Linked DNA regions of Anolis sagrei. The protein of the gene in region 1 interacts with the protein of each later gene in a biochemical or structural test. Links are inferred from orthologs where the notes say so. Each region holds a gene or a part of one and is shown in the gene's direction. Other genes may lie near its edges. The genes, in order: TFAP2A, KCTD15 and CITED2.

Region 1 (10,472 bases):
GACTGAGCCCACGAAGACCTCAGAGTCGGAGGCACAGTTGTCATCATTTTGGGGGAAAATACCCTGCAGGAATGTAGCTGGACTATCAGGAAAGAAGTGGGGCTCAAATCATCAAAAATGTAGTGTGTACGGCCTCAAAAGACCTTCTTCTGAATACAGAATATTTATTTATTTATTTATTTATTTATCCTTCTTACCCCGAAGTTGACTCAGAGCTGCTTACAAGATATATAGACATACAATATATTATATTATTAGCATAGTACAATAGCAGTATTAAATATTACTATATTGTACTATACCATTATATTGTAATATTATTAGTAATATTACATGTAATATAAATATATAATTATAATATCATATTATTATTATTAATATTATTATTATTATTGGTAGTAGTATTATATAGCATTACAGTATAATATTATAAATATTAGATGTATATACATTATATTATATTATATTATATTATATTATATTATATTATTATTAGCATAGCACAGGAGGCAAGGTGGAACTGTCCCTGGTCCCCTCTCTCTTCACTGTGGCCCAGTGCAGCAGTTGGTGCTAGGGGAGGGTCCCCAACTGATGAGGTATGCAGGAGACAAGATGGAACTGTCATCTGGCCCCCTCTCTCTTCACTCAGTTGGTCCTGCAGGGAGAGGTCCCCAATTGATGACATAAGCAGGAGACAAGATGGAACTGTCCTCTCTCCCCCCCCCCCCCCTTCACTCTGGCCCAGAGCACAGTTGGTGCTGGGGGGAAGGGCTCCCAACTGATGACATATACAGGAGACAAGGTGCAACTGTCTTCTGGCCCCCTCGCTCTTCATTCTGGCCCAGGGCAGCAGTTGGTGCTAGGGAGAGGGGTCCCCAACTGATGACATATGCAGGAGACAAGATGGAACTGTCCTCTGGCCTCCTCTCTCTTCACTCTGGCCCAGACCAGCAGTTGGTGCTAGGGAGAGGGGTCCCCAACTGATGACATATGCAGGAGATAAGATGGAACTATCTTTTGGCCCCCTCTCTCTTCACTTTGAAGGAGTCAAACAATGGATTCACAGGACAGGAAAGGATTTGCCACTTAAATATTAGAACAAACTGCCTGAGGGTTAGAGCTGTGCAACAGTGGAATTCACTACTTCCAGTCTCCTTCTCTGCAGGTTTTGAGGCAGAGGCTGGATGGCCATCTGTCGGGAGGGCTTTGATGATATCTTCCTGCCTGGGAGAATGAGGCTGGACTGGAGGGTGCTTGCCATCTCTTCTAACTCTTATGATTCTGTGATACCTAGATGGAAAACGACTCTGCCTATGCTCAGTGAGCACTATAGTCGAGGTCTCTGAAAAAAGTCGGTATGGGATAATGGCTTCTGAGCCTATGGTTTAAACCTGGATTTCACAGATTTCTGTCATTCAATCCCTATCGGCATTAATGCTAAGCCCTCTGATATTTAAATGCCATAAGTGGAGTAGAATTCATTTCAGATGCCATTTACTCGGATGGCAGCCCATTTCTCCCGGCTACCATCCCATAACTTGGGGGATTCTTGGGGTGCATTCTTGGGGTGCATTCTCAGAACAACACCTCAATCTCTAGTCTAGCTCCTCGTTGAGGTCTGGAAGCTTGATGACACAAGAGACTTGTGCAGTCCAGGGATGAAACCCAACACAAGCAAACAAGCGACAAATCAACACTTCATTGGGTTGTTGTAAGCTTTCCGGGCTGTATGGCCATGTTCCAGAAGCATTCTCTCCTGACGTTTCGCCTGCATCTATGGCAGGCATCTTCAGAGGTTGTGAGGCCGGCCATGAAAGCCTTCGACAATCCATTCAACACTTTATTGTCGCCAGGGTCGCTTCCTTTCCGAACACCACGGGTTTTGTGGCGTCCTGACTTTAAAAGTTCGCCATTGTGGGGGGCTGGTTGTTGCAAAGTACCAGAAAAAATGGGAAATCAAGAAAAGAGAAAAATCTCTTGTCTAGACATTGATCAGCGAGGCAGGGTTCTTAAATCAGAGGAGAGCCAGCCTTTCAAGTCCTCTACAGGCTGATTTAGGTGCCAGACTTTCCACGCATGGAACTCAGGCTGGATCTACGATGCATTATAATGCAGCTTCAGAATGCAGATTGACTGTTTCCCCCTGTTTTCAGAGTGCTGTCCTTTATTTACTGTCCTGATTTTAGAGTTTTTAGAATTGCTACAAAGAGACAAAAATATTTTTTTTCATTTTCATGGTCTCCTTTCTGTTGAAGTTGTTCATGTGCGTGTGGATTTCAACGGCTTCTCTGTGGAGTCTGACATGGTGGTTGCCAGAGTGGTCCAGCATTTCTGTGTTATCAAATAATATACCGAAGATGCCTGCCATAAATGCAGGTGAAAGGTCAGGAGAAAATGCTTCTGGCACATGGCTCGGAAAACTCACAACAACCCAGTAATTCTTGCCGTGAAAGCCTTCCACAATATATACCTCAAAACCTCTGAGGATGCTTGCCATAGATGGAGGCAAAAGATCAGGAGAGAATGCTTCTGGCACAAGGCCATACAGCCCAGAAAAACTCACAACAACCCTGTATTGCCAGCCATGAAAGCCTTTGAGAATACATACCTCACAACCTCTGAGGATGCTTGCGAAACATCAGGAGAGAATGCTTCTGGAACATGGCCAAGCTATTACCTTTTGTTCAAAAAGGACAATAGACTAAGGGTGTGGGGCTGAGGCTGAGAGAGTTGGTTCCCAAGACTGAGCAGGGGGTTCAAACACTGGTTTCCTAGTGCTTCTGGAACAGCCAAGAAAACTCACAGCAACCCAGTGATTCTGGCCGTGAAAGCCTTCCACAATACAAACCTCACAACCTCTGAGGATGCCTGCCATAGGTGTGGGCAAAAGGTCAGGAGAGAATGCTTCTAGCACATGGCCATACAGCCCGGAAAACTCACAACAACCCTGTGTTTCTGGCCATGAAAATCTTTGAGAATATATACAGTACTTCACAACCTCTGAGGATGCTTGCCATAGATGTGGGCGAAACGTCAGGGGAGAATGCTTCTGGCACATGGTCACACAGCCCGGAAAACTCACAACAACCCTGTGTTTCTGGCCATGAAAGCCTTTGAGAATATATACAGTACCTCACAGCCTTTGAGGATGCTTGCTATAGATGTGGGCGAAACGTCAGAGGAGAATGCTTCTGAACACGGCCATACCGCCCGGAAAACCGATTAGCAGGCCCTGATTGTTTACACCTCCCAACATAGGATTCCCCCGGCAGTAAGAAGCCAGACCTTGAAACTGCTAGGCCATTAAATGCTAATCAACGTGCCCAATTGAAACATTCACACCTACCTCGAACAGACAAGAGTTCTTTCTCCCACCCTGGACATTCCAGAGATACATAAACCCCATTTTCCTAGTTTCTAACAGACCTCACAACCTCTGAGGATGCCTGCCATAGATGCAAGCAAAACATTAGGAGAGAATGCTTCTGGAGTATAGCCATACAGCCCGGGAAACTCACAATAACCTTGTGTTTCTGGCCATGAAAGTCTTTGAGAATATATACCTCACAACCTCTGAGGATGCTTGCTATAGATGTGGGCGAAACGTCAGGGCAGAATGCTTCTGGCACATAGCCATACAGCCCGGAAAACTCACAACAACCCAGTTCTGCAATGGATGGGCATTTTCCTAATAGGAGCAACCATTGCCCCTGCTGGGCCTGGCTTTGATTTCGGTGTGTTTGCAGAAGGAGACAACTGGGGATCACAGGTACAAGAGGGAAAAGGAGTGAGAGAGAGAAGAATGGAGAGGATCCTTTAAAAAGGAAACCATTTGGGCCTCCTCCCCTAAGCCTCCCTCTTTCATTCTGGAGGAGAGGGGGGGGGCACCTTTCTGTTGCTTTTGCAAAGGAGGGGGCCAAGCGAATCCAATCGGGGGGGGCTCCTGGGGAGCTCCTGGCCGCGCGCGCGCCCGGTCTTGGCGCGCGCGGCGCAACTGGGCTGCGCCTGCTATGCTAATGAGGCGAGGCGGCTGCGTTGGGAGAAGACTGGCTCAGGGAAAGGGAGAGGGGGGAAAGTTTCGACCATTAGAGGGAGATCTGCGAGCGGGCACAGCGGATCGCCTCCTCCTCCTCTTCCTCTTCTTCTTCCTCCTCCCCTCCTCCTCCTCTTCTCAAGCCCAGCAGCGGGCGCGCTCTGCATGCCAGAGGAGAGCGCCAAGGCAGGCAGGCAGGGCATCACAGCCTCCCCTCTCTCTCTTTTTTTTCTTTCTCTCTCTCTCTTCCTTTCTCCCCCCTCTCTCTCTCGCTTGTCTCTCGCCTCGCCAATCCATGAAAATGCTTTGGAAACTGACGGATAATATCAAGTATGAGGAATGCGAGGTAAGCGCTTTCCCCTCACATCAGGGGATCCCCGAGTCCCTGCTTCCTGATCCCTTTCCCCCTCTCCCCAACAACAACAACAAGGAAGGAAGGAAGGAGCTCAGGGCAAGTTTGGAGCGAGGTGACTTGACTTCTCCCCTCTTTTTTGGGTCTGGACGCTGCAAGGCGAGGGGGCTCTTCAAAGGGAGGGAAGGTCCACAGTTGGGGGGCTGAGGAGGCGAGAGGGGCGGAGAAGGACATGGAAGAAGATGGGCTGAATGATGGATGGATGGACGGATGGTATCGGGGAGGGAGGGAAGGAAGGAGGAAAGGAAACGAAGCAGCCTGGCGCCGGTAGAGGGATCCCCAAGACCTCGAGACGAGTCTTCCCTCGCCCCGACGGTGGCAGCAGCAGCAGGGCACCAAAAAGATAAAGAAAAGGTTCAAGGAGTGGCTTCCGGAGTAGTTTGCCAACTCCGAGTCTGTTTTGCGCCCTGCTTTACTCGGGGTTTGGAGGAAAGCGGTTCCTCGATGGCAGGAAACTCCGATTTGGCACAGAAACTGGTTTTTTGTGTGTGTCAGGAGCGACTTGAGAAACTGCAAGTCGCTTCTGGAGTGAGAGAATTGGCCGTCCGCAGGGACGTTGCCCAGGGAATGTTTTTGATGTTTTATCATCCTTGTGGGAGGCTTCTCTCATGTCCGAGCATGGGAAGCTGGAGCTGACAGAGGGAGCTCATCCGCGCTCTCCCCTGATTCCAACCTACGACCTGACCTGTCGGTCTTTAACCCACTGCACCATGGGGGTAATGGGTACCTTTGCCGCACAGCGCTGCAGATGCTCTTTCGCTCTTTCGGGTCCCCTCCCTGACTATTTTCTATCCAGGATGCCCTAATAGTAGAGGACTCACCTTTTTTTGGGTGGTGTCAGGAGCGACTTGAGAAACTGCAAGTCACTTCTGGAATGAGAGAATTGGCCGTCTGCAAGGACGTTGCCCAGGGGACGCCCGGATGTTTTGATGTTTTATCATCCTTGTGGAAGGCTTCTCTCATGTCCTCGGGTGAGAAGCTGGAGCTGACAGAGGGAGCTCATCCGCGCTCTCCCCCGGATTCCAACCTGCGACTTGTCGGTCTTCAGTCCTGCCAGCACGGGGGTTTAACCCACTGCGCCACTGGGGGCTCACCTAAGATACTGGATGACTCGTGTAGGCGGGCAGAGGCGTTGAGTATGAACAGAAGGATGCCATGGATCCCCAACGGGAAATGAAGGCTGCTCTGGAAAGAAGCCAAACTCACAAGTGTTGGCGACCCCATTGCGCGCTTTGCAACCCTCCTCCTCCTAAGTAGATTGCAGTCAGGACCATTTTAAACCGGTTTTTCTGTCTCCTTCACATTCTGGTGTTGTGGTCCTTTGTTTGCAACCCCAGTAGAGGATTTAAAAAGCCCAGCATGGGCTAGCATTGAGATTTACAACTCTTTCGGAAGGGCGAGACTGTCAGAAGCGGGGAAATTTGGGAGCTTGCAGGTGGAAAGTACCCCTTAATGGCAAGAAACGGGAAAGTGGGGTCCTCCTGCGCTCTCCTCCTCTACTCTTCCCCTTCCTACAATCTTTTTTTGGGGGGTGGGGGGTGGCAGGTGGCAGAGCCATTCTTTGAAACTTGTCTTGCCCATCGCTTTGGCTGTGTCTCCGTCTTCGTTGCTTGTTTTGCTTCGCCTTTTGACGGTAAACAAACAGCTACAGCTCGGTCGCGGTGCTAGGAACTTAATCTTGGGAAACTGACACCGGTTAGAGTGAGAAGAGACTTCCAAAAGCCATCCAGTCCAACCCCATTTCTGTCAGGTGAAGGAAATATACTCAGGCGTGGACGCTTATCTCAGAGAGGTCCACGGGGAAAGGTCCACTGCCCTATATCCCAGGATTTGATCCCAGATTATCTGCTTATCCCAGATTATCTGGCAGTGTAGATTCATATAAATGTTTTTCACGTCAGGCGTGACTTGAGAAACTGCAAGTGGCTTCTGGGGTGAGAGAATTGGCCGTCTAGGTTACCATCCTCGTGGGAGGCTTCTCTCATGTCCCCGCATGGGGAGCTGGAGCTTAACCCGCTCTCCCCCGGATTCGAACTGCTGACCTGTCCTCAGCAGTCCTGCCGCACAAGTCTAGTCTTGTTGGACTCTTTGAGTTGGTACTCAACTCCATTTCTAAGCCGAAGGGTTTAGAGACACCTCCAAAGTCATGACTGCATGTTTTCGAATTGCTAGGTTGGCAGAAGCTGGGGCTAACAGTAGGAGCTCACCCACTCCCCGATTGGAACCTCCGACCTTTCGGTCAGCAAGTTCAGCAGCTTTAACCCACTGTGCGGGGGGGGGGGTCTGTAGACTCTATAATCCAGTTCAAATCAGAGAAATCTGGGACCAGATACTGGGATGTAGGGCAATGCAGGTTCAACCAGAAGGAAAGGGAGGGCAGGGAAAGCCTCAGGCTGACGAGGTGGCGCTCTTGGGGGAGCACATCTACACCAACCATGGAAAACCGTTTCAGACCTTGACTGGAGAAAGGACTTTAGTTGGACAGATGGTTATGTACTCAGGCCCTTTCCACACAGCTGAATAAAATCCCACATTATCTGCTTTGAACCGGCAGTATGGACTCAGATAACCCAATTCAAAGTAGGGGCTTTCTGCCTTGATATTCCGGGTTATATGGGTGTGCGGAAGGGTCCTTAGAGGCCTGGATGGTGAGGCCAAAACCGCAGAGGGTTGGTGCACGTGCGTGAACGTGTGTTTTTTTTTTTTTTTTTGTGTGTGCCTTTGGTGAGAGTTCGACTTCGGAACTGCGTTAAATGGCTAATGTAGATGGGATCGGTGGGGGAGAGGCTGGGGCCCCTTCCACACAGCCCTATTTCCCAGAATATCAAGGCAGGAAAATCCCACAATATTTGCTTTGAACTGGGTTATCTGAGTCCAAATTCAGATAATGTGGGATTTTCTGCCTTGATATTCTGAGATATAGGGCTGTGTGGAAGGGCCCACAGATAACCCAGTTCCAAGCAGATATTGTGGGGTTTCCTGCCTTGATGTTCTGGGATATAGGTCTGTGTGGAAGGGTTCACAAATAACCCTGTTCAAAGCAGATATTGTGGGGGTTTTCTGCCTTGATATTCTGGGATATAGGGCTGTGTGGAAGGGCCCACAGATAACCCAGTTCCAAGCAGATATTGTGGGGTTTCCTGCCTTGATGTTCTGGGATATAGGTCTGTGTGGAAGGGTTCACAAATAACCCTGTTCAAAGCAGATATTGTGGGGGTTTTCTGCCTTGATATTCTGGGATATAGGGCTGTGTGGACGGGGCCTTAGAGGCTTGGCTGGTGAGGCCACAACCGCAGAGAGCTGGTGCACGCGCGTGAAGGGCGCTTTTTCTTCTTTTTTGCGCCTTTGGTGGGAGTTCGGCGTCGAAACTGCGTTAAACGGGCAATGTGGATGGGGCGGGTGGGGGAGAGGTTGTGCTTGCGAGCTCTGCAGAGGCGGTAGGGAGGAAAAGGGGAGCAGGGCGCCTATGGCGGCGGCAGAGGAGTTGCCGAGCCAGTCGGACGGGTTGAGGAGCTGGGAGCTTGAGCTTGTCCGGGCCGGCAGAGCAGCAGTCGCCACCCCTTCCTTTCCCTTCCTTCCTTCCTGCCTTCCTTTCCCTTCCTACCTCTCTCCCCCCGAACCCGAAACCGGGGAGAGGCAGCTCGGCGGGGCCGCGACGGGGATCCAGCCGGGAGAGAGAGGGGGCCCTTGCGCCATGGAGGCCGCCACGGAGGCCCCCGCCACGGAGCAGACGGGCCCCGAGAAAGAGCCGGGGAGGAGCGTGGGCCACGACGAAGAGGAGGAGGAGGAGGTGGGGGAGGAGGAGGAGGCCCCGGAGGGCAGCTTCTCCGCCTTCGCCCCGCCGCCCCAGGTGTGCCCTGGGCTCAAACCCCTTCCCTCGGCTCTGGGCTCTCCTTTCCCCCTTCTATCCACTCTTTCCCCCCTTTTCTTCCTCCTCCTTCCCTTCTTTTTCTCTCCCTCTCCGGCCTTCTCCACTCTCTGCCTCCCTGGCTCCTTTCTCTTTCTCTTCCCAGGCTTTGGAACCTTTTAAAATGTGGCCCCTTCCCTGTGATTCGTCAGACGCCTCTCTCTCTTTCTCCCTCTCTCTCTCCCCCTCCTCCTTTTTGTGTCTCCCTCCCTCCCTCCTTTCCCCCTCCCTCCCTCCCTCCCTGATTAGATCCCCTGATCCTTCCCTTCAATGGACGTCATTTAGAACAGACTCTGCCTTGAGTCGCCGCCTCGCTTCACGCTCGATTTCCAGCTATTCTTCCCTTATTAAGTCTTCGTGTAATATTAATAGTCATGAATATCTGCTATTAGGGACTCTCGCTATTAGGGAGAAAAGCAAGCGGCGGATTTTTCTCCTCTCTCTCTCTCTCTCTCTCTCTCTCTCTCTGCCTCTTTCTCTCTCTCTCACGTGAAGTCAAAGGAGGGGAGGGCAGAGGGAAGAGGGAGGGGGCGCACACACATGCGCTCTCGCCCACACGCACCCTCTCTCTCTCTCCTCTCTCTCCTCTCTCTCTTTCACACGCTCAACTTTGCTTCCTCTCGCCTCGAGCTGCTGCGTTTGGGGTCCAGTTCGGATGGCTTCTCTTCGCCTGCGGTTCCCGGCTCGGGCGGAGCGGCAGCTTGGGCGCTGGGGACTGGGGTTGGGGGCAGTCTAGGCTTCTCTTCCCATTGTGTGAGTGTGGATGCGAAAGAGGGAAAGAGAAGGAAAGAGAGAGAGAGAGAAAGAAGCTGGGAAAGCGGCAGCTTAGGACAGGAAGAGCAAGGAAGGAAGGAAGGAAGGGGAGACGAGGAAGCGAGAGAGCGCGCTCCAGAGCAAAGAGCCATACTTTTTTTCTCTGCCTTTTTTTCTCCTCCTGCCTTGACTCCGTCGCCCCGCAAACCTCGCAGATGTTAGTTCACAGTTTCTCGGCGATGGTGAGTGGATCCAGATTTCTCTTCTTCGGGGCTGGGGCTGGAGGAGGAGGAGGAGGGCGAAACCGCGCTGAGACCCCCGACCCTGCCTGGCTTCCTTCCTCTCCCGCATCCCACCCAGACCTGGCTTCCTAGCCTTTCGCTTTCAAAGCAACACCCCACTTCTTTGAGGAGCCCTGCGGCTGCGCCCAGGTCGCCACAAAGGGCTTCCACTCCCTTCCATTGTTTTTCCTCCCCCCCCCCTTTTTTTTTTTTTTTGCTTTCGTTGTTATCGTCCCCGCTCTCCCTCTACAGTTCTTTTCTGCTTCTTGGGAGATGGAAGCTGAAGACCTTTTAGCATACACACACTATATATATATATATATATATATATATATATATATATATATATATATATATATATATATAATGAAAGGTGTTCAACTTCCATCTTCCATATGTATATATATATGGAAGATGGAAATTGGGTTGGGGAGAATATATATATATATACACACACATATATAGAAAGGTCTTCAACTTCCATCTTCCATACACACACATATACACACACATATATATATAGTGAAAGGTCTTCAACTTCCACTTCCACTTCAACTTCCATCTTCCATCTATATATATATATACAGATGGAAGATGGAAGTTGGGTTGGGGAGAATATATATATATATATATATATACACACACACAGAGTGAAAGGTCTTCAACTTCCATAGGAGGGAAGTTAGGTTGGGGACACACACATATATATTCTCCCCAACCCAACTCGGCCCCATCCCCCACCTTGCATTTGTATGGCTGTTAATTGGCTTTAGACATACCTGTGGGCTATAATCTCATAACCACCGAAGTCCCAATTGCACCCATTGCAAAAGTCATTTACATTTGCTTCCCTCTTCTTTTCCCGGCCCGCTTTTCCTCTGTTTCTGTTTTATCTTTTTGTCATTGCTTTCCCCCAAAAAATATTTAATCATTTTGTGTGTTCAGAAATATATCTATGTCATCTTTGTTTAGAGAGTTCTGTACTAATCTATCAGCACAGGCTGTGTATTATTATTATTAGAATAATATTATTAGAATACAGTTGCAACCAACAACGCATGTTGACGGCTTGTCCTTCTCACAACT
Region 2 (11,225 bases), on another chromosome or scaffold:
TTTCTCTGTTTTTCTCACTCTGTTCTTTCTTGGAGGACGACTGGTGGATTATGGGATTCTTTGCACTTTCTATACACGTCTATTAGTGGGTTTTGCAAAGGCCCAACATTGTTTTGGTTTTGAAAGCCAAACATTGTCAACGCCAGTGACATTCAGTTTTTCTCCAGGGCTTGAACTGAGTTATATGGTCAGTGTAGACTCATATTGTGCAAACTGAACTGCATTATATGCCCAGTGTAGATCCACATCATGCAGTTCAAACTGCATTATATAGTCAGTGTGGAAACATATCCTGCAACTTGAACTGCATTATATGCCCAATGTAGATCCATATTGCGCAGCTTGAACTGAGTCAGTTTAGATCCGTGATGCGCAGCTTGAATTATATTGAACTGCATTATATAGTCAGAGTTGATCCATATCATGCAGCTTGAAATGTGTTGAACTGCATTATATGCCCAATGTAGATCCATATTGCGCAGCTTGAACTGAGTCAGTTTAGATCCGTGATGCGCAGCTTGAATTATATTGAACTGCATTATATAGTCAGAGTTGATCCATATCATGCAGCTTCAAATGTGTTGAACTGCATTGTATGCCCAGTGTAGATCCACACTGCGCAGCTTGAACTGCATTATATAGTCAATGTTGATCCATATTATGCAGCTTGACTTGTATTGAATTGCATTATATGGTCAGTGTAGACCCATGTCATGCAGTCTGAACTACATTATATGCCCAATGTAGATCCATATTGCGCAGTTTGAACTGCATTATATCGTCAATGCTGATCCATATCATGCAGCTTGACTTGTATTGAACTGCATTATATGGTCAGTGTAGACCAATATCATGCAGTCTGAACTACATTATATGCCCAATGTAGATCCATATTGCTCACTTTGAACTGCACTCAACTCCATTATATGGTTATTGTGGATCCATATCATGCAGCTTGAATTGCACTATATATATGCAAATGCAAATAGTCAGCGTAGACCCATGCCATGCAGCTTGAACTGCATTATATAGTCAATGTAGCCCCTTAATGTGCACCTTAAACTGCATTATATGGTCAGTATAGACCCATATCATGCGGTTTGAACTACATTGAACTGTATTATATGCCCAATGTACATCCATATTGCACAGCTTGAACTGCACTGAACATTATATGGTCATTGTAGATCCATATCATGCAGCTTGAATTGCATTATATATATGGTCAGTTTAGACCCATACCATGCAGCGTGAACTGCATTGAACTGCATTATATAGTCAGTGTAGACTCATATCATGCAGTTTGGACTCCATTACATATGCCCAGTGTAGATCCATACTGCGCAGCTTGAACTGCACTGAACTTCATTATATACCCATTGTGAATCCACATGATGCAGTTTGAATTGCAATGTAGGCCCCTTCAATGTAGCCTGAACTTCATTGAACTGCATTATATAGTTTGCGAAGACCCGTATTGTGCATCCTAAACTACATTATATGGACAATGTAGATCCATATTGCGCAGCTTGAACTGTGCGATATGCCCATTGTCGATCCATATCATGCAGCTTGAATTGCATTGAACTACATATATATAGTCAGTGTAGACCCATATTATGCATCTTAAACTGAATTATATGTCCATTGTAGATCCATATTGCGCAGCTTGTAATGCAATAAATTGCACTGTTGTAGATCCATATCATGCAGCTTGAATGGCATGCCGGGCAGCTTGAACGACATTGAACTGCATTATACAGTCAGTGTAGACCCATATTGTGTATCTTAAACTGCATTATATGTCCAGTGTCCAGTGTAGATCCATATTGCGCAGCTTGAACTGCAGTATACTGCTCTGTTGTAGATCCATATCATGCAGCTTGAATAGCATGCCATGCAGCTTCAACAACATTGAACTGCATTATATAGTCAGTGTAGATCCATATTGCACAGCTTGAATGGCATTGAACTGTATTATATAGTCAGTGTAGTTCCATTTTGCGCAGCTTGAATGGCATTGAACTGCATTATATAGTCAGTGTAGACCCATATTGCGCAGGTTGAATGGCATTGAACTGTATAATATAGTCAGTGTAGACCCATATTGCGCATCTTGAATGGCATTGAACTGCATTATGTAGTCAGTGTAGACCCATATTGTGCATCTTAAACTTCAATATATATCCCGTGTAGACCCATAATGCGCAGCTTGAACTGCACTATACTGCACTATTGTAGGTCCATGTCATGCAGCTTGAACAATATTGAACTGTATAATATAGTCAGTGTAGACCCATATTGCGCAGCTTGAATGGCATTGAACTGCATTATATATTCAGTGTAGACCCATATTGCGCAGCTTGAAAGGCACTGAACTGTGTTATATAGTCAGTGTAGACCCATATTGCGCAGCTTGAATGGCATTGAACTGTATTATGTAGTCAGTGTAGACCCATATTGCGCAGCTTGAATTGCATTGAACTGCATTATGTAGTCAGTGTAGATTCATATTGTGCAGCTTGAATGGCATTGAACTGTGTTATATAGTCAGTGTAGACCCATATTGCGCAGCTTGAATAGCATTGAACTGCATTATATGCCCATTGTAGTTCCATATCATACAGTTTGAACTGCATGACCTGGGTCTACACCGACCTTATAAATGCAGCTCAGTCTGCACTCTTTGGCAGCGTAGACCCAGCCGTAGCCACAGGGAAACAGAACGCATGTGCAGGAATAGATTTGCACCAACATTTTCCCTTTGGAACAAAAAAAAAAACAACAACACCCTGCCGTTTCCATTTCTCGTCTTAAATGGGCATGAAGGAATTAAACTGTGCCAGTGAATAACAGCATTAGTTTCAATTATTTCCCCTCCCCAAATCCTGGCAACCATAAAAGTTTGGGTTTTTACATCCTTAATTAGCCTGCTTTCCCATCTGTATTTCTGTTTTAAGTGCCGGAGTGCTTTGATTTAAACTTGGCCTCCCCTTCATCCCTCCCTCCCACTTCCTTCTTCGTTCCCTCCTTCTTTCTATCTATCTTTTGTCTTCCCTTCTCTTGCTTTTCTCCCACCTTTGGCCTCCTATTCTCCTCCCTTACCTGATTGCAGAGGCAGTTTGGTGCAGTATAGTACAGTTCAAGCTGCGCAATATGGATCTACTCTGTCCATATAACTTTTTCTCTATACACACAAACATGTGTGTACAGCAACATGGCTTCCTATGGCCCTGAGCTATGTGCAAATGTGGGGAGCGCCTCCATCCAGCCCCAGTGTAGTCAGTGTAGACCCATATTGCGCAGCTTGAATGGCATTGAACTGCATTATGTAGTCAGTGTAGACCCATATTGCGCAGCTTGAATGGTATTGAACTGCATTATGTAGTCAGTGTAGACCCATATTGCGCAGCTTGAATGGCATTGAACTGCATTATGTAGTCAGTGTAGACCCATATTGCGCTGCTTGAACGGCAAAACAAACTTTTGAAGCCCGATTTCAATGTCTCGCATCCCTGAGTGTGTATGAATAGGAAGATATCCTTTCAGAGAGAGAAAGAAAGGGAGGAAAAGGAGAGGCAACACCCTGGAAATGTCTGCCGCCGTCTTTCAGCGTTCCCTGCCTCGAGGCATGCATGCGCCCGAGGGCCTTGGAGTTGAATGGCGCGCTCACAACCGCCTTCTGTTTACCTTTTATGGTTAAAATAACAGCTTTTTTTGCAAAGGAGCAACTTTGCAAAAGGGAACAAACGGCTCAGATTGGGTGAAACTCATCTCAGGCAGAAGCGGAGCTGGTTTAATCACCCCTAGAGAGCTGAACAACTGCGAGCTCAATGGGACACAAAACCATTTTGTGTGTAAATGAGCATGGGATGGCGGTGATATTCGCTTTCCATGGGCAAATAGTTTTTACAAGCAGCCGTTTGAGGCAGGGAGCGAGCGGAGGAAGGCAGCAAGGATGGTGCGAAGGCACCTGGTGGGAAGAGGCATGCGCGCGCATGAGAGGCGGCAGCGTCTATGCACACACATGCAAAGGCAATGGGCATGGCGGACCTATGGCACCGTCCATCCGCAGGAAGGTCCCTTCCCACATTCATTCATTCATTCATTCATTCCAAGGGAGACAGGCAAGGGAAGGCCCCAAAGCATTGCATTTATAGTGCATAATACTCTTAGGTAGGCAGACTGCACATAGGGTCAGTGCGCTTCCATGATGCACCTTCTCCCTTTTGCTGAGAAAGGCCTCAAAATACTGAAAAGGAGTCTCATTTGGGAAGCTTTAGGTCAAAACAAGAGATTTAAATGTGTTGTTTCGGAGCATTCCTTATGGAAGCTTAAAGTATCATCTCTCTATTACTAAGTCAAAACAGAGTTTATAATGTTTTGTTTTAGTGCCTTCATTAGAGAAGCTTAAAGTATAACTTGGATGTCTATCTGTCTCTCCCTCCCTCTCTCTTTATCCATCTTTCTATCGATCTCTCTATTTATCTCTCTGTCTCTCTATCTTTCTATCTCTCTATCTGCCTCTCTGTCTATCTCTGTCTCTCTGTATCTCCATCCATCTCTCCATCCATTTCTCCATCCATCTCTCTTACTCTCTATCCATCTCTCCATCCATCTCTCCATCTCTCTGTATCTCTATCCATCTCTCTTATCTCTATCCATCTCTCTATCTCTCTGTATCTCTATCCATCTCTCTATCCATCTCTCTATCTCTCTATTTCTCTATCCATCTCTCTATCTCTATCCATCTCTCAGTATCTCTATCCATCTCTCCATCCATCTCTATCCATCCCTCTATCTCTCCATCCATCTCTCTATCTCTCTGTACCTCTATCTATCTCTCTATCCATCTCTCTATCCATCTCTCTCTCTGTATCTCTCTATCCACTCTCTATCTAGCTCTCATATCTCTGTATTTGTTTCTCTATCTAGCTCTCTGTTTTTCTATCTATCCATCTCTCTACCTCTCTCTATCTCTCTATCCATCTGTCTATCTCTATCTCTATCTGTCTCTCTATTGAACTCTCATATCTCTGTCTCTACCTCTCTCTCCATCTCTCTCTCCCTCTTTCTATTCATCCCCCCTCTCTCTATCCATCTCTCTATCTGTCTCTATCTCTATCCATCTCTCTATCCATCTCTCTCTCTGTATCTCTCTATCCACTCTCTATCTAGCTCTCATATCTCTGTATTTGTTTCTCTATCTAGCTCTCTGTTTTTCTATCTATCCATCTCTCTACCTCTCTCTATCTCTCTATCCATCTGTCTATCTCTATCTCTATCTGTCTCTCTATTGAACTCTCATATCTCTGTCTCTATCTCTCTATCCATCTCTCTCTCTCTCTTTCTATTCATCCCCCCTCTCTCTATCCATCTCTCTATCTGTCTCTATCTCTATCCATCTCTCCATCTCTCTCTAGCTATCTAGCTATCGCTCTATCAATCTCTCTTGTCTATCTATCTATCTATCTATCTATCTATCTATCTATCTATCTATCTCTTTCTCTATCTCTCTATCCATCTCTCTATCTCTATCTGTCTCTTCGTCTCTCTATCTCTGTTTCTCTATCCATCTCTCTATCTCTCTCTGTATCTCTTTATCCATGTCTATCTATCTCTCTATCCATCTCTCTATCTCTCTCTGTATCTCTCTATCCACATGCCCCCCCCCCCCCTCTCATCTCTCTGATATACATTTTGCTCTAACTCAAAACAAGACTTGAAAAAATGTTAGTTTGGGGCATTCCTTAAAGAAGCTTCAAGTATAACCTATCTATTATCTATCTATCACTAAGTCTAAAGAGAGTTTTAACGTTTCGCCTGCACGTTTCGCCTGCATAGATGCAGGCGAAACGTCAGGAGAAAATGCTTCTGGCACATGGCCATACAGCCAGGAAAACTCACAGCAACCTGCCATAGATGCAGGCGAAACGTCAGGAGAAAATGCTTCTGGCACATAGCCATACAGCCAGGAAAACTCACAACAACCTGCCATAGATGCAGGCGAAACGTCAGGAGAAAATGCTTCTGGCACATGGCCATACAGCCAGGAAAACTCACAACAACCTGCCATAGATGCAGGCGAAACGTCAGGAGAAAATGCTTCTGGCACATGGCCATACAGCCAGGGAAACTCACAACAACCTGCCATAGATGCAGGCGAAACGTCAGGAGAAAATGCTTCTGGCACATGGCCATACAGCCAGGAAAACTCACAACAACCTGCCATAGATGCAGGCGAAACGTCAGGAGAAAATGCTTCTGGCACATGGCCATACAGCCAGGAAAACTCACAACAACCCAGTGATTCCAGCCATGAAAGCCTTCGACAATACAAAGTATATATCTGTTTCTATCATTTATCTTTCTAACATCTATATATCTATCTATTGATGAGTCTATCTCTAAGTCAAGACAGAATTTAATACATTTGTTTTAGTGCTTTCCTTAAAGAAGCTTTGAGTATCACCAATGTATCCTCTGTTTATCTATCATCAACCCAATCAACCATCTATCTATCGCATCTAGCTTTGAGTATCACCAATGTATCCTCTGTTTATCTATCGTCAGTCCAATCAACCATCTATCTATCTGTCTAGGGATTGATCCCAGTGTTGTGTTATGGTCTTTGTAGTCCCGGAGGGGAAAGGAAAGTCATTCCAAGTGTCTTGACAGTAAAAAGGCTGTTGACAGTTCGGCGTGCCGTCTCCGTCTCCGGCGACATAACAATAAACCCCGGGAACGGTGCCGTTTTGCTTGGCTTTGTTCATGTGCCATCTGCACCCATCATTCCAGGCTCCCATTGGATTGCGACCCACATCTGCCCCGTTTGGGTGGGCCGTGGCTTCTTCCCCATTGTTCTCTGCCTCTGAGAAGTGAGTGGGAGGCGAGGGACGGTCCTGCCCAAGGAAAGGTATAATAGGAGGGCTCTAATAGAGAGAGAGAGAGAGAAGAGAGAGAGAGGCACATGATCCGGAGTGAGGCATGAAGCCTTGCCGCCCGGTGCCGAACAACGCCTTGGAAGCCAGCCCCATTGGGCGCCAATGGACTTTCTTTCAAGTAAGCGTGCTTATGATTGGGCATCGCCTCCCTCGCGCCTGGCAGGAGACCCAAACCCAACACAGAGCGGCTCCTGCCTCACTCAAACCGATTCGGGAAAGGGAAGATGATCTGCAGGAGAAGCATTTGGATGGTAGATACAACTTTGCATGGATTGCGACGATCGTTGCCAGGCTCCTTCGCGTGCCTTCGCTCTTTAGTGTGCTTTCCCTCCCATTTGGGAATGTGTCTGTTGTGCCGGATACATACAGTGGCTAGTTTTCTCTGTTTCGGGTCTCATTCGTTGTAACAGACTCTCTTTTGTTGCAGAAATAGCTCTTTTCTCTGGTTTTTGGGGGACGATGGGTTAAACTGGATCAGAACCAAGGCAGGCAGAGGCAGTGTTTACCTTTTGGAGTTTGAATAAGAGTGCGCATTTGGTGCCAAATAAGAGAGATGGAGAGAGAGATAGGGAGATAGAGAGACATATAGATAGGGAGAGAGAGATGGATAGAGAAATAGAGAGATGGATAGGGAGAGAGCGAGTTTGATAGAGAGATAGAGAGATGGATAGAGAGAGGTGGGTAGAGAAATAGAGAGATGGATACAGCGATAGAGATATAGATAGAGAGACAGACAGATAGAGATATGGATAGACAGACAGGTAGAGAGATAGAGAGATGGATAGAGAGACAGATAGATAGATAGATAGATAGATAGATAGATAGATAGATAGATAGATAGATAGATAGAGAGATAGATAGAGAGATAGATAGAGAGATGGATAGAGAGATGGATAGAGAGATGGATAGAGAGATGGATAGAGAGAGAGACGGATAGAGAAATAAAGAGATTGATAGAGAGATAGAGATGTGGATAGAGAGACAGATAGATAGATGGATGGATGGATAGATAGAGATGTGGATAGAGAGACAGACAGACAGATAGATGGATAGAGAGATGGATAGAGAGATGGATAGAGAGATGGATAGAGAGAAAGAGATACAGATATGGATAGAGAAATGAGATTATCCATGGCTAGAGATAGATAGAGAGATGGATAGAGAGAGAGAGACGGATAGAGAAATAAAGAGATTGATAGAGAGATAGAGATGTGGATAGAGAGACAGACGGAGAGATGGATAGAGAGAAAGATGCCGATATGGATGGAGAGAGAGATGGATAGAGAAATAGAGAGATAGATAGTGAGACAGAGAGAGATACAGATATGGATAGAGAGAGAGAGAGAGAGAGAGAGAGAGATGGATAGGGAGAGAAAGAGATTGATAGAGAGATAGATAGAGATGTGGATAGAGAGGGGTGGATAGATAAATAGAGAGATGGATAGAGAGATAGATAGATAGATAGATAGATAGATAGATAGATAGATAGATGAATAGAGAGAGAGATACAGATATGGATAGAGAGATGAGATGGATAGAGAAATAGATGGATAGAGAGAGAGATGGACAGAGAAATAAAGAGATTGATAGAGGGATAGATAGAGATATGGATAGAGAGACAGAGAGGGAGATGGATAGAGAGAGATACAGATATGGAGAGAGAGAGATGGATGGATACAGAGATGGATAGAGAGAGAGATACGGATATGGATAGAGAAATAGAGAGAGAGATACAGATATTGATAGAGAAATGAAATGGATAGAGAGAAAGATACAGATATGGATAGAGAGAGAGATACATATATGGATAGAGAGAGAGATGGATAGAGAAATAGAGAGATGGCTAGAGAGATAGATGGAGAGAGAGATACAGATATGGATAGAGATATGAGATGGATAGAGAGAGAGATAGAAAGATGGATAAAGAGATGGATAGAAAGAGAGGCAGATAAAGAGATTCGAATAAGAGCGCATCTTTTGTGCCCAATAAGTGAGATAGAGAGAGAAATAGAGAGATAGAAATATGGATAGGGAAATAAAGAGAGAGAGAGAGAGAGAGAGAGGGATAGAGAGAGAAATGGATAGAGAAATAGAGAGATAGAGGTATCGATAGAGAAACAGATAGAGAGATGGATAGCGAGAGTTACAGATATGGATAGAGAGATGAGATGGATAGAGAGATTGAGAAAGAGATGGATAGATAGAGAGATGGAGAAAGAGATTCGAATAAGAGCACATCTTTGGTGCCGGTGGGGACGTTGGTTGTGTGTCTGCCTATCTGTAGCTGTAGTATTTGATGCACCCGCAAAACTATCATCTGTCATTGATTTTGTCAAAAAGCAAGTTCTTTGGCTTTTGTGGGGAGACGTGACGTCTTTGCCGAAGATGACTCACCGTATCCGGGAGAAAATCTCTCGCTACTCCTTTTCAGGAATCCAATCTTTCTTCTCCTTCATGTCCAAACGTGGATGATGATCTCCTCTCCGCTTGGACTGATGTTTTGCATCAGCGTCGCTCTCCGGTGGTTGATTTCCGAGTCCATTTCGGGCACCAAGAAGAGAGAGAAGAAAGATATATTTGGGGGGCGATACATCTTTGAAGACCACGGCAACCAAATAGTCAATCAGGCAAATAGTTAATAGTCTTGGTTTTGGTGCCACAGTTGCGACAAAGTCTTCAGATTGCTGATCTCTTCCGCCCGTTTCCATGTATTTTAGGATTTCTCAGGTGATTTCTAATGGGAGTCGGTTGTGTTTTGGTCAGGTGTTTTCCAAGTTATGTTTCAATCAATGGCAAAAGGTGGGAAAAGGTTAGCAGAATATTGTAAATACAACCCAAGAAAACGAAACGAGGCTTAAGAACATTTCCTAGCTGTGCTGTTTACCATGTATTGTTTATACTCCGAAATAAGTAAATGCAATGAGTGTTTTGTGTCGCTTGTATGGCTTTGTCACAGATCCAATTAGTCACCTGTGTCTCATTCTGATGTTGTCTTGTGCCGAGCGAAGCGACATTCATATTCATCAGAAGGCAACGCTTGATCTTTCTCGTTCCTTTGCAGCTTAAGGTGTGTTGTCTTTGCGCTGATCCGAAACGTTATACGTTTCAGTCGAAATCAGTATTGGATATGTTTGCTGTCAATGTCGTTAAAATGCAAGGAAAGTATTTGCTATCATGAGGTTATGTGTGCGTTTGTGTGACTTGAAACGAGGTTACAGAACTCTTGGAAACGGTGCGCTAAGGATCAAAAATAGTCGTATTTTTTTTTGTCCGAAGCTTGCTTTCGATCGGAAAGTTGGGAATTTGATAACGTAATCGGTATCCCTTTATTATCCTTCAAAAGCAACCCAAATAGTTCCGAGTTTGAACGTGATTCGAGCCTCAACGATGCGCCCGGGGAGCTGAGGAAGTCACTAATTTAGAGGTGTCTCGTTACGGAGACAAACTTGCAAAAATAACCCCCCGAACCCTAATTCGCAAATTGGCTCTCCGTTTGTCGGGGGGATATTTCACATCTCGCGCAGGAGCCGGCGACCTTTAATTAGAATTTTGCAGTTTGTTTTCAGCCCCTGGAGGCTGACACCTTGGAAAAGATTCCTTTTTCTTCTCGATGTCTTGGTGCTAATAAGCATCTTTTTTTCCCCCCTTCTTCGCCCGCCGGTCCTTTGAAGAGGGCGATGCAAACACACTTAATTACGGAGGTGGCGGCAATTTGTAAGCGGAATATGCGATCAGGCAGAGGCACAAGCGATCTGATGAGATGCTGTGATCGCGCCCCGGAATGAAGGCGGGCGGCTACGCGGAGATAGATAGATAGAGAGAGAGAGAGATGGATAGGTCGCGGGAATAATCACCCTTCCCTTTTGTTCTCTCTTCCCGGGGCTTTAGGAGGAAGGAAGAGCAATGTCCCGGCTGTCCTTAACGCGCTCCCCGGTTTCGCCCCTGGCCGCTCAAGGGATCCCTCTGCCAGCGCAGCTCACCAAGTCCAATGCACCCGTCCACATCGACGTAGGAGGACACATGTACACCAGCAGCCTGGCCACCCTCACCAAGTACCCCGACTCCAGGTAAGCCAGCCCTACTCAGAACTTCCGCCTCACCTGGTGCCCACCTGAAGCACCTGTTGTGATCATGATGCTTTGTCCAGAGTACCTGTTGCAATCATGGCAACACCTGTATTCAATCTGATTTTGCATTGAGGAATGCCATTTTAGTATTGTGTTTCTAATTATTTGTGTCTTCTCCCTTACCTGGAGACACCTGTATTCCCCAATACATGCC
Region 3 (10,475 bases), on another chromosome or scaffold:
CTGAGAAGTAGCAATTTAACCATCAGGAGATGAGATGAGAGAAGAGAGAGAGAATAGGCAGACAAAGAGGGCAATGGGGGAAGGGCTTGCCCTGCTAGCGCACTCAGCTTTCCGTTTATCTTCTTGTTTGAGGACTACAAACTTGTGCATGATGCAGATGTGTTCCAGCAAGGACACCTAGGCATGCCTCCCTCCCCCAAAAGCCATGCTGGATAGGGATGATGAGATTTGTGGTTTATCGGTGACTGGATTTTCATGTCAGGAGCTACTTGGGAAACTGCAAGTCACTTCTGGTATGAGAGAACTGACTGTCTGCAAAGACTTTGCCCAGGAGACACCCGGATGTTTTACCACCCTATGGGAGTCTTCTCTCATGCCTCCCATTAGAAGCTGGAGCTGACAGACGAGAGCTCATGCCACTCCCCTAATTCGAATAGCCAACCTTTCAGTCAGCAGTCCTGCCAGCACAAGAGTTTAACCCTTTGCACCACTGGAGGCTCCTTATCAGTGACTGGTGAATTCCCCATGTTTGGAATTCTAGTGTTTACTTAGAATTGCTTAAAGTGCTGAACGTATAATCAAAATAGAGTCAGCACCTTGGATAACTCCTTCAGAGTTCTGGCTGAAACTCTAAGCAGATTCACATGCTACTGACCTAGGAGGAACCAGCAGGGTATCTATCTGGGAAGTTTGACCTACCAATGAATTGTTTACAAATGGCCCTCTGCATTCGCTGGGTTTAGGGGCACAGGACCCCTAAAAGTGGGAAAGCTGCAAATTAAAAACCCACTAACTTTCACATAGTCCAACTTTATGGTCTATTTCCACCTAAAGTTGACCATAACGTTCAGCTGGAGGACTTAAGAGATTCCAAAACAGAACATATTAATCATATCCATGAATAATCAAATCCACAAAAGTTAAACTCACAAACGAAGAAGGCCAGCTGGATTTCTTTAACATTCTCATCTTTCTCCCCACACAGGACACAAGGTGGCTTACAACCAACGACGTATGATGGACAGGACACTAAGAATGAACAACCACATCTTTTGCTGTTATCAGTACAAGCAGAAGGAAATAAAAGGTGTGAAAAAGACAAATAGATGTGTAATAGTTAGCTTTTTGGAGCCCCTGGTGGTGCAGTGTGTTAAACTGCTGAGCTTCTGAACTTGTTGACTGAAAGATTGCAGGTTGAATCCAGGGAGTGGTGTGAGCTCCCACTGTTAGCCTCAGCTTCTGCCAACTTAGCAGTTCAAAAACATACAAATGTGAGATCAATAGGTACCACTCTGGCGGGAAGGTAACTGTGCTCCATGCAGTTATGCCGGCCACATGGCCTTGGAGGTGTCTATGGACAATGCCGGCACTTCGGCTTAGAAATGGAGATGAGCACCAACCTCCAGAGTTGGACACGACTGGACTTAATGTAAGGGGGAAACCTTTATCTTTACCTAGTTAACTTTTTAAAGAAGGTTAGTGAAAAGTTTTGAGTTGCCACTCCCAGTTTATAAATTTTAAAATGTTCCTTGACATTCCTTCTTTAGCAGAAAATGTGGTACCAGAATCAACATGGAAAGAACAGGGCTAGGTTTTTATACCACAAAATGGAAGATCAATCCAACAGATTTAGGCAAACTTTTTATCCTAACAGCATGTACTTGTGAAATGAAACAATCAAGTCAAGAAAGATTTGTGTAAGTAAACAAAAACATTTTAACCTTCAGAGATTCACTTGAAGGCTTATTTTAAAAGGCACCCAGGGATGGCTTTTTCTTTTTCCACTTTTCTTATGATTTCCTTTTTCGAGGTCAAATTTATGGATGTTTATTTAATATGCTTGGAAAAACTGTTGAGGCAGGCTTATCTGTTTTTCCTTACTCTCTTTCTTTACAGGTTCAGTAAGGGATTTTAGGGGCAGCTGCTGTTTAACCTGTTGTAGTCAGGCACACAATAATATCAATGAAAATAAAACCCCATTCCTTCCCTTGGTTTATTGTGCTGTTCACTACAGACTTGTTGCTTAAACCTGACACGAAACCACTGTGTTTCTCCAACTCCCCACCATTCCCCCAATGCCAATGATGCTAAACAAAACTGGCATATAGATGGAGAACAAGAAGGAAAAGGGAGCTGGGAGTGATTTAAAAGATTTTACTTCACTGTCAAAGGCAGTGGTTCTCAACATGTGGGCTGCGGCCCAGCAATGGACTGCAAGAACAAAACTCTGGACCACAAACCTCCTTCCTCTTTTATTGGTACTAATGTTAGAGAATGGTCCCTGGTCAAAGTGGTCCCTGGCCAAGTGGTCCCTGTTCAAATGGGCCCTAGTCAAGTGGGCACTGGTCAAAGTGGGCCTTGATCAAATAGGCCCTGGCCATGTGAGCCCTGGTCAAAATGGGCCCTGGTCAAAGTAGGCTCTGGTCAAAGTGGACCCTGGTCAAGTGGGCCCTGGTCAAAGTGGGTCTTGGTCAAAGTGGGCCTTGGTCAAAGTGGGCCCAGGTCATAGTGGGCCTTGGTCAAAATGGGCCCAGGTCATAGTGGGCCTTGGTCATAGTGGGTCTTGGTCAAGTGGGCCCGGAACATGTGGGCCCAGGTCAAAACAGGCCCTGGTCAAAGTAGGCCATGGTCAAGTGGGCCTGATCATAGTGGGCCCTGATCAAAGTGGGCCCTGGTCAAAGTGGGCCCTGGTAAAGTTGGCTCTGGTCAAAGTGGGCTCTGGTCAAAGTGGACCCTGGTCAAGTGGACCCTGGTCAAAGTGGGTCTTGGTCAAAGTGGGCCCTGGTCATAGTGGGCCCTGGTCATGTGGGCCCAGGTCAAAATGGGCCCTGGTCAAAGTGGGTCTTGGTCAATGTGGGTCTTGGTCAAGTGGGCCCTGGTCAAAGTGGGCATTGATCAAGTGGACCCTGATCAAAGGGGCCCTGATCAAAGTGGGTCTTGGTCAAGTGGGCCCTGGTCAAAGTAGGCCTTGATCAAGTGGGCCCTGGTCAAAGTGGGTCTTGGTCAAAGTGGGTCTTGGTCAAGTGGGCCCTGGTCAAAGTGGGCCTTGATCAAGTGGGCCCTGGTCAAGGTGGGTCTTGGTCAAAGTGGGTCTTGGTCAAGTGGGCCCTGGTCAAATTGGGCCTTGGTCAAGTGGGCCCTGGTCAAAGTGGGCCTTGGTAAAGTGGGCCCTGGCCTTTTCTTTTTTTTTTTTTTTTTTTTTGTCATGTGTAGGGTTCAGCGTGTTAGGATTCAGCTTTCCTGCCACTGTGAGTGCATCTACATCAGGCATGGGTCAACTTGGGCCCTCCAGGAGTTTTGGACTTCAACTCCCACCATTCCTAAGAGCCTCAGGCCCCTTCCTTTTCCCCCTCAGTCGCTTAAGCAGGAAAGAGAAAGAAAAGGGACTGAGGCTGTTAGAAATGGTAGGAGTTGAAGTCCAAAATATCTGGAGGGCCCAAGTTGGCCCATGCCTGATCTACCCTAGAATAAATGTAGTGTGACCCAATGCTATGGCTCAATGCCATGGAACTCTTGAGGTTATAGTTCTACAAGGTCTTTCGCCTTCTCTGCCTGAGTGTAAGCTCCTCACCAAACTACACCTCCCAGGATTCCACAGCCATGGGAGTTTTAAAAAGTCGTGCCAGACTGCCTCAATTCCAGAGTGCAGATGCCCTGGGTGTCCTCTTGGCGCGAGAGGAGGGGATGGGCGCGCCTGGCAGCTCCCAGGGAGGCGCCTTTCCGGCTTCCTTGTTGCATTATCAGTTGCATTGACCCTTTCATCGCCGGGGCCAAACCCAAGCGGGGCCTGGAGGCGCTTTGCTGAGCCAGCCATTGCCGCCCTGCCTTTCCTCGCCCTCTCTTGGCAAGCCTCGGGGTCGGACCGTGGGCTTGCAGAAGGCCCTGGCCTCCCCCTCGCTGCGGAAAGGGAAAGGCGGGCTGCTCTGCTGCTGCCAGGGCTGCCTTTGCCTTTGCCTTTGCCCTCCCCAGGCCCAGCAAGGGCAAATGTCCACACGGCACGCACACGCACGCACTGGGAGGGGAGGGGAGGGGGGCTGTTTATTAAACGGGGGGGAAGGGAGAGCGAGGATCTTTGGAGCGAGGCTGGCGGAGTTTGTTTGCCTAGCAAAGAGACGCCTCTTTTCGAGTGCCAAAGCTTACCCGGAGAGGTGAGCGCAAACTCTCCACGCCACCCGGAAAGCGTGGCTTGGATCTCTGAGCGGCGCGCAACAAGGACTGGATCTACTCTGCCCTAGAATGCTGTGGCATCGGCATTACGCTGCCTGTATATCATGCAGGTCCAAATGGCATAGGTTAAGGCTCTCTTGTGTGTGTACAAACACCTCCGGGGATTGGAAAACATGGGTGCTTGCTTGGTGCGCCTTGGCGCTCTCCCTCCAAGGGTCCCCATTGCCATTGTGCAGGAGGAGGAGGAGGAGGGGGGGGCAGCAAAACACACCCCAGCATCATGCTCTCAGGCTGCTTTACAGCAAGCCTCTCTCGCTCTTTCCTCCGAGGGGGAAGAACTGGGCGACCATCTGGTGTGTTAGCTTGTGTGTCTTTCATACCCAAAGAGAAATGGTGGCAATCCCTACATAAGGAGGGGCGGAGGGGCTAGAAAGCGTACCCCAAAACTCTTCCAAACTTTGGTGAATTACTGGGTTGCTGTGAGTTTTCCATGTTCCAGAAGCATTCTTTCCTGACGTTCCGCCCACATCTATGGCAGGCATCCCTAGAATTTATGAGGTCTGTGGGAACTTAGCAAGTGAGATGTATTGTCGAAGGCTTCCATGGTCGCAATCGCAGGGTTATTGTGCGTTTTCCATGTTCCAGAAGCATTCTCTCCTGACGTTTCTCCCCCAAAACTCTTCCAAACCTTGGTGAATTACTGGGTTGCTGGAGTTTTCTATGTTCCAGAAGCACTCTCTCCTGACGTTTCTCCCTCATCTATGGCAGGCATCTCCAGAGGTTGTGAGGTCTGTGGGAACTAAGCAAGTGAGATGTATTGTCGAAGGCTTTCATAGCCGGAATCACTGGGTTCTGTGAGTTTTCCAGGCTGTATGGCCATGTTCCAGGAGCATTCTCTCCTAACGTTTCGCCTGCATCTATGGCAAGCATCCTCAGAGGTTGTGAGGACACTGTCGAAGGCTTTCATGGCCGGAATCACTGGGTTCTGTGAGTTTTCCAGGCTGTATGGCCATGTTCCAGAAGCATTCTCTCCTGTCGTTTCGCCTGCATCTATGGCAGGCATCCTCAGAGGTTGTGAGGTCCTCACAAGCTCTGAGGGTGCCTAATATAGATGCAGGCGAAACGTCAAGAGAGAATGCTTCTGGAACATGGCCATACAGCCCGGAAAACTCACAGCAACCTAAGCAAGTGAGGGTTATATATCCGTGGAATAATGTCCAGGGTGGGAGAGAGAAGTCTTGTCTGCTTGAGGCAAGTGTGAATGTTGCAATTGGCCACCTTGATTAGCATGTAATAGCCTTGAAGCTTCAATGCTTAGCTGATTGCTGCCGCCCTGGAGGAATCCTTTGTTGGGAGATGTTAGCTGGCCCTGACTGTTTCCTGTCTGGAATTCCCTTGTGTTTGGGGGGGTGGGGTTAGTGTTGCTCTTTATTGACTGTCCTGATTTTAGAGTTCTTTAATACTGGCAGCCAGATTGTGTCCATTTCGATGGCCAATTCCCTCCAAAGCTTGGCGAGCCGGTCAGGGGTTTCTCCTCCCCCCCCCCCCCCCCTTAGACCTCCTCTCCCATGTTGTCAAGGTGGCTGTGGGTGCTGGGACCTTGGGTGGAAGGAGACCCACTTCCTGGCTGCCCTCTGTGCCCAAACCCGCTGGCGTCGGCGCCCTCTCCCCGCCGCTTTCTGGCTCGGTGGCCTTCCCGTTCCGCGGGGGCTGCTCGTCCTCGCGGCTCGCTCCGGGTTTTCCTTCTGCTTCGCCTCTTCGGGCTTTCGCTCCTCCCTTTGGAAAGCCTATATTAGCCTCGGCCAAAGCAGGGGAAGGAACACAGCGCATTGTTGGCGAGGAGTGGAAAGCTACGGCTGGCAGCATCGGGCTGCGCGGTGGGAGCAGCAGCAGCAGCAGCAGCAGTTGGAATTGCAATCTTGTGTATTATTGCTGATTTTTTTTCTTTTTGCGCCGTCCTAGCCTGTGCAAAGAAGAGGCGAAGGGGAAGAGTTTCCTCTATGCTGGGAGAGCTTTGCTGAGTGGGCTTTTTTCTCCCTCCCTTTCCCCTTCCCCTGCGGGATCGGTTCGGAGGAAAAGAAGAAAGAGAGGGCGCGAGGTGAGTGCGTTTGCCTGGCGAGGGAGGAGGAAGGGGAAGAGGAAGGGAAAGGTGCCCTTTTCCCGGCCGCGTTGCCGGAGAGGCCCCTTGGAGGGAGGGAGGGAGGGCGGGCGAGGGGGAAGGAGAAGGGCTGGGGGTCAGCGGAGGGTTTGCAGCCAGACCCCCTTCTAATCCACTTAGGCTCCTCTCCCGAGCAATCCTTGCTAATTCCCAAAGTTGTTGACAAGGGGAAGGAAAGCGAGAAGGTCGGCCAGGCTGGTGGTGGCATCTGGACTTCTTATGCAAGGTTGTGTGATGACATCCTTCAGAGAATGTCTTTTGAATGGATCCGCCTCGCCAACGCCAAGGGGAGGGTTGGGAGGAAAAGGGGGTGTGTAGGGTGGACGTGGGCCGGGTTGCAGGGTGGTTTGGGCTCCGAGGGGTGTGTGCTGGCGCTTTCCTTCCCCTTTGCCTTGCACAGCCTGAAGAAAGAAAGCTCCAGCCTGCTTTATCCATGTCCAAAACATCACGCAGAGGGGAAGGGTGGGTGGATGTGGGTGGCGTGCTTGCAGGGCTGCCTTAGACCGCCTTCTTCGGAGACTCTGGGGCTCTTTGGCCGCTGGTGGCAAAACTGTTTATCTCTTTCTCTCCTCTCTCTCTCTGTAAACATTAACTTTGAAAGGCTGGCAATGGCAGACCACATGATGGCCATGAATCACGGGCGCTTCCCCGACGGGACCAATGGGATGCATCACCACCCGGCGCATCGAATGGGCATGGGCCAGTTCCCGACCCACCACCATCAGCAGCAGCAGCAGCATGCCTTCAGTGCCTTGATGAGCGACCACATACACTACGGTGGCGGGAATATGAGTGCAAACACTGGGATCCGGCAGCACACCATGGGGCCCGGGAATGTCAATGGTGGGCACCCGCCGGGCACCATGCCCCCCACGGCGAGGTTTAGCAATACTCAGTTCATGGCTCCGACGGTGGCTCCCCAAGCTGGGCCCTTGACGGCCAGTATGCAGTTGCAAAAGCTGAATAATCAGTACTTCAGCCACCACCCCTACCCTCACAACCACTACATGCCGGACATGCACCCTGCCAGCCATCAGCTCAACGGAGCTAACCAGCATTTTAGGGACTGCAACCCGAAGCACAGCAACACCAGCGGCAGCACCAGCAGCGGCGCTGTGCCCTCCTCCGTGGCCCACGTCCCTGCAGCAATGCTGCCGCCCAATGTCATAGACACTGACTTCATAGACGAGGAAGTCCTTATGTCCTTAGTGGTGGAAATGGGCTTGGATCGTATCAAGGAGCTGCCGGAGCTCTGGTTGGGACAGAATGAGTTTGATTTCATGACAGACTTTGTTTGCAAACAGCAATCCAGCCGAGTGAGCTGCTGACTTCTCGCGCGAAAGGAAGCGGAACCGAACACACAAAGAAGGACTTTTTTAATCTGTATGAATGAAAACATTCCCTCTCTCGAACACAGTATTTCAAAGGCTGTTAGGAGCTTGACCACCTGGGAAGCAGAGTAAATGACAAAACGTATAATTTCCCCCCTTTTTTAATTTGCTGTCACATTTTTTTTAAACTTTGACACCCATGTCTTCCTTCCCTTCCCTAGGAATACTTTAAACTGATTGAGCCTCTAGAATTTCCTTTTTTTTTTCTCCTCCTTCCCCTTTCTGTGATCCGTTTTCTTCATCACTGGGAACTTACCAACAGTTTCAATTATTAGATAATATATTGGCAACATGCTTAAATCTTGTGGATTTTCTGTAGGCTATCATTTCAGAGGATTAGAACTACAGTCAAATTCCGAGTTTTAAAAAAAGGACAAAAATGCTTCATTAGTTGGTTGCATGAACTTCAGGGTAGATTCCTGCACAAATACTGCCCTCTTGCTTTGTTTTGAACTATGCATTGCCGTGATGCTAATTTATTTTTGAGTCTGCTAACCTGAAAGCTTAACAAATGTGGGCCAAACCCTTTCCTGATTAGGAAAAATAATAGTTACTTAAACTCTGCTGTTCTTGGAAATCCCCCCCCCCCCTCCACCCCATCTGTACAGACAATATAGTGTGATTCAAATGGTCTCTTGATTGTTGGGAAAATACTTCACTGGTTCTTATTTTCTTTTGATTCTGGTCCTTTCTTCCTCATTATTTTTCTTCTGGTATTGTGCTTACATACATTTTTAGCATTCGGGGGAGAAATTACTGTGTTGAAAGCTTTTTAGAAATTTGACAGTATTTTTGTACAATTTTTTTAGGAGATAATTGTTAATTTATTTTTATTTTTATTTGTCAAGATCAATACAAAGTTAAGAAATCTTTATTTCCCCACCCACTAGATCTCAACTACCTGGATTTTTTTCCTGGTCTCTCCCCCCACCCACCCACCCACCCACTCGTCCCACCTTCCACACACATCTTTAAATCCATATAACCCATTTGACTTGTTGAACTGTTGGGTTGTGTGAAACTTTCTGAAGGAAAATCTACTTGGCACCATTGTTTGCTCTATGTCACAATCAGTGCAGAAGGTAAAAAAGGATTTAAGCCTAATTATGACACCCAGTCTCATAAGTAACATTGTAACATGCCTGTGTGATTTTATCAAAAAGTGGAGAAATGCCAAGAGGCAACGACTTTGTGATTTGCCAACAACTTACTTGCTTTTAAATGTAGTTGTCCAGAATTATGATGCATAAAGTATTTATTCTATTTATCTATTAAACTTTAATTTTATAAATACTCTCATTTATCTTATCTATGGAAGAGTTGGTTCGTTCTGTACATGTATTTCTTGTTAGACGGGTTGTGTAAACACAAAAACACTGCAGAATTTATTGTTGAAGGCTTTCATGGCCAGAATCACTGGGTTGTTGTAGGTTTTTACGGGCTGTATGGTCATGGTCTAGAGATATTCTCTCCTGACGTTTCGCCTGCATCTATGGCAAGCATCCTCAGAGGTAGTGAGACCTCACTACCTCTGAGGATGCTTGCCATAGATGCAGGCGAAATGTCAGGAAAGAATGCCTCTAGACCATGGCCATACAGCCCGAAAAAACCTACAACAACCCACTGCAGAATTTGTATCCCCGTTTGTTTCTTGTATACATCATAAAAAGGAGCTTAGCAATTGAAGAGACACAAATATAGATGGGGAATTGTACAGAATTGAAATCCACAGGACAGATGGGAGCAGAGAGTTGGGAAGCTGAACTCTGGTGTTGGTGGAAAACATTTTGTTTGGCAAAGTTGAACCAGTTTTATAGTTTAGGATGTGAGTGCTGATTCTGAAAATGGATAACATTCATCTTTTTGGCATGGGAAAGTGGGAAAATATTTATATTATAGCAGGAGCTTGGTTTATTTGATCTTGCTATCATTGGAGTGAAGTAGTGTTACTCAAATACTAACACGAGTAAAGATCAGATACCTGAATCTGATCAAATGACATCTCTCTCCCCATCTATATTCGTGTCTCTTTAATTTTGTGGTAGATAATTAGAAGTAGCCCTTTTTTTGACACCGCCTCCTCCTGGGAAAACATAATAGAAATACAAGACTTGTTCATGTTTTATTGGGAGATTATATCAAAATGGAAAAGGTTTGCTGGTTGAGACATTTAAAGTAACTTTCTCAAATCAGTTTATATCAAATTGGAAAAGGTGAGCTGATTGAGACATTTAAAGTAACTTTCTCAAATCAATACTGTAGCAACTTCAAAATGCTCTACTCTCCTGGCTTCTATTTCTCCCATTTTCATGTTGTGGTTGGGCTAATCTATGATATCTAGGACCATTTATTCTAATCAGAGATGCCATAGCGTTGGGATAAATTACTACAGGGAGGAGTGGATGAAGTAATAAACATCTCCCTTGGAGAAGAAAACTCAGATCTTCAGGCTGCATAACATTAGAAGTAGTTCAAATAATTACTAAGTGTACATCCACAAAGCAAAAGGAATGTGGAGCTGGCAAGGGCATGGATATTGGTATAAGCAATCATCAATATTTGAGCTGTACATGCTCAGTTCTGCACACTAATTGCATATGCTTTTAACAGCCTAACTTACCTTTCCATGTAATATTCTTGTAGAATATCATATAGTATGCACAGGAATACAAGTATGGCTTTGTTAAAATCTTGGGCCCATTTATTTTAAGACTGATTCAGTAGTGTTCATCTTTGCTAGTCAGAGGTCAAGTTTTGAC

The links.
Region 2: the proteins of TFAP2A (region 1) and KCTD15 form a complex in vitro, tested with the Homo sapiens proteins (2 studies listed by BioGRID, with this or other methods). The link is inferred for Anolis sagrei from reciprocal best matches to the Homo sapiens genes TFAP2A and KCTD15.
Region 3: the proteins of TFAP2A (region 1) and CITED2 form a complex in vitro, tested with the Homo sapiens proteins (2 studies listed by BioGRID, with this or other methods). The link is inferred for Anolis sagrei from reciprocal best matches to the Homo sapiens genes TFAP2A and CITED2.

What each region holds. Positions count from the first base shown.
Region 1 is NC_090024.1:83,531,579-83,542,050, forward strand, and holds the start of TFAP2A (transcription factor AP-2-alpha), read left to right. Parts: upstream 1-6,500; 5' UTR 6,501-7,911; coding exon 7,912-8,295; intron 8,296-9,320; coding exon 9,321-9,347; intron 9,348-10,472.
Region 2 is NC_090028.1:2,917,621-2,928,845, reverse strand, and holds the start of KCTD15 (BTB/POZ domain-containing protein KCTD15), read left to right. Parts: upstream 1-6,658; 5' UTR 6,659-6,987; coding exon 6,988-7,062; intron 7,063-7,076; exon of another isoform or gene 7,077-7,168; coding exon of another isoform or gene 7,169-7,195; intron 7,196-10,832; coding exon 10,833-11,011; intron 11,012-11,225. UniProt on the Homo sapiens protein: During embryonic development, it is involved in neural crest formation. Inhibits AP2 transcriptional activity by interaction with its activation domain.
Region 3 is NC_090021.1:78,464,883-78,475,357, forward strand, and holds CITED2 (cbp/p300-interacting transactivator 2), read left to right. Parts: upstream 1-5,970; 5' UTR 5,971-6,265; intron 6,266-6,926; 5' UTR 6,927-6,933; coding exon 6,934-7,653; 3' UTR 7,654-9,009; downstream 9,010-10,475. UniProt on the Homo sapiens protein: Transcriptional coactivator of the p300/CBP-mediated transcription complex. Acts as a bridge, linking TFAP2 transcription factors and the p300/CBP transcriptional coactivator complex in order to stimulate TFAP2-mediated transcriptional activation.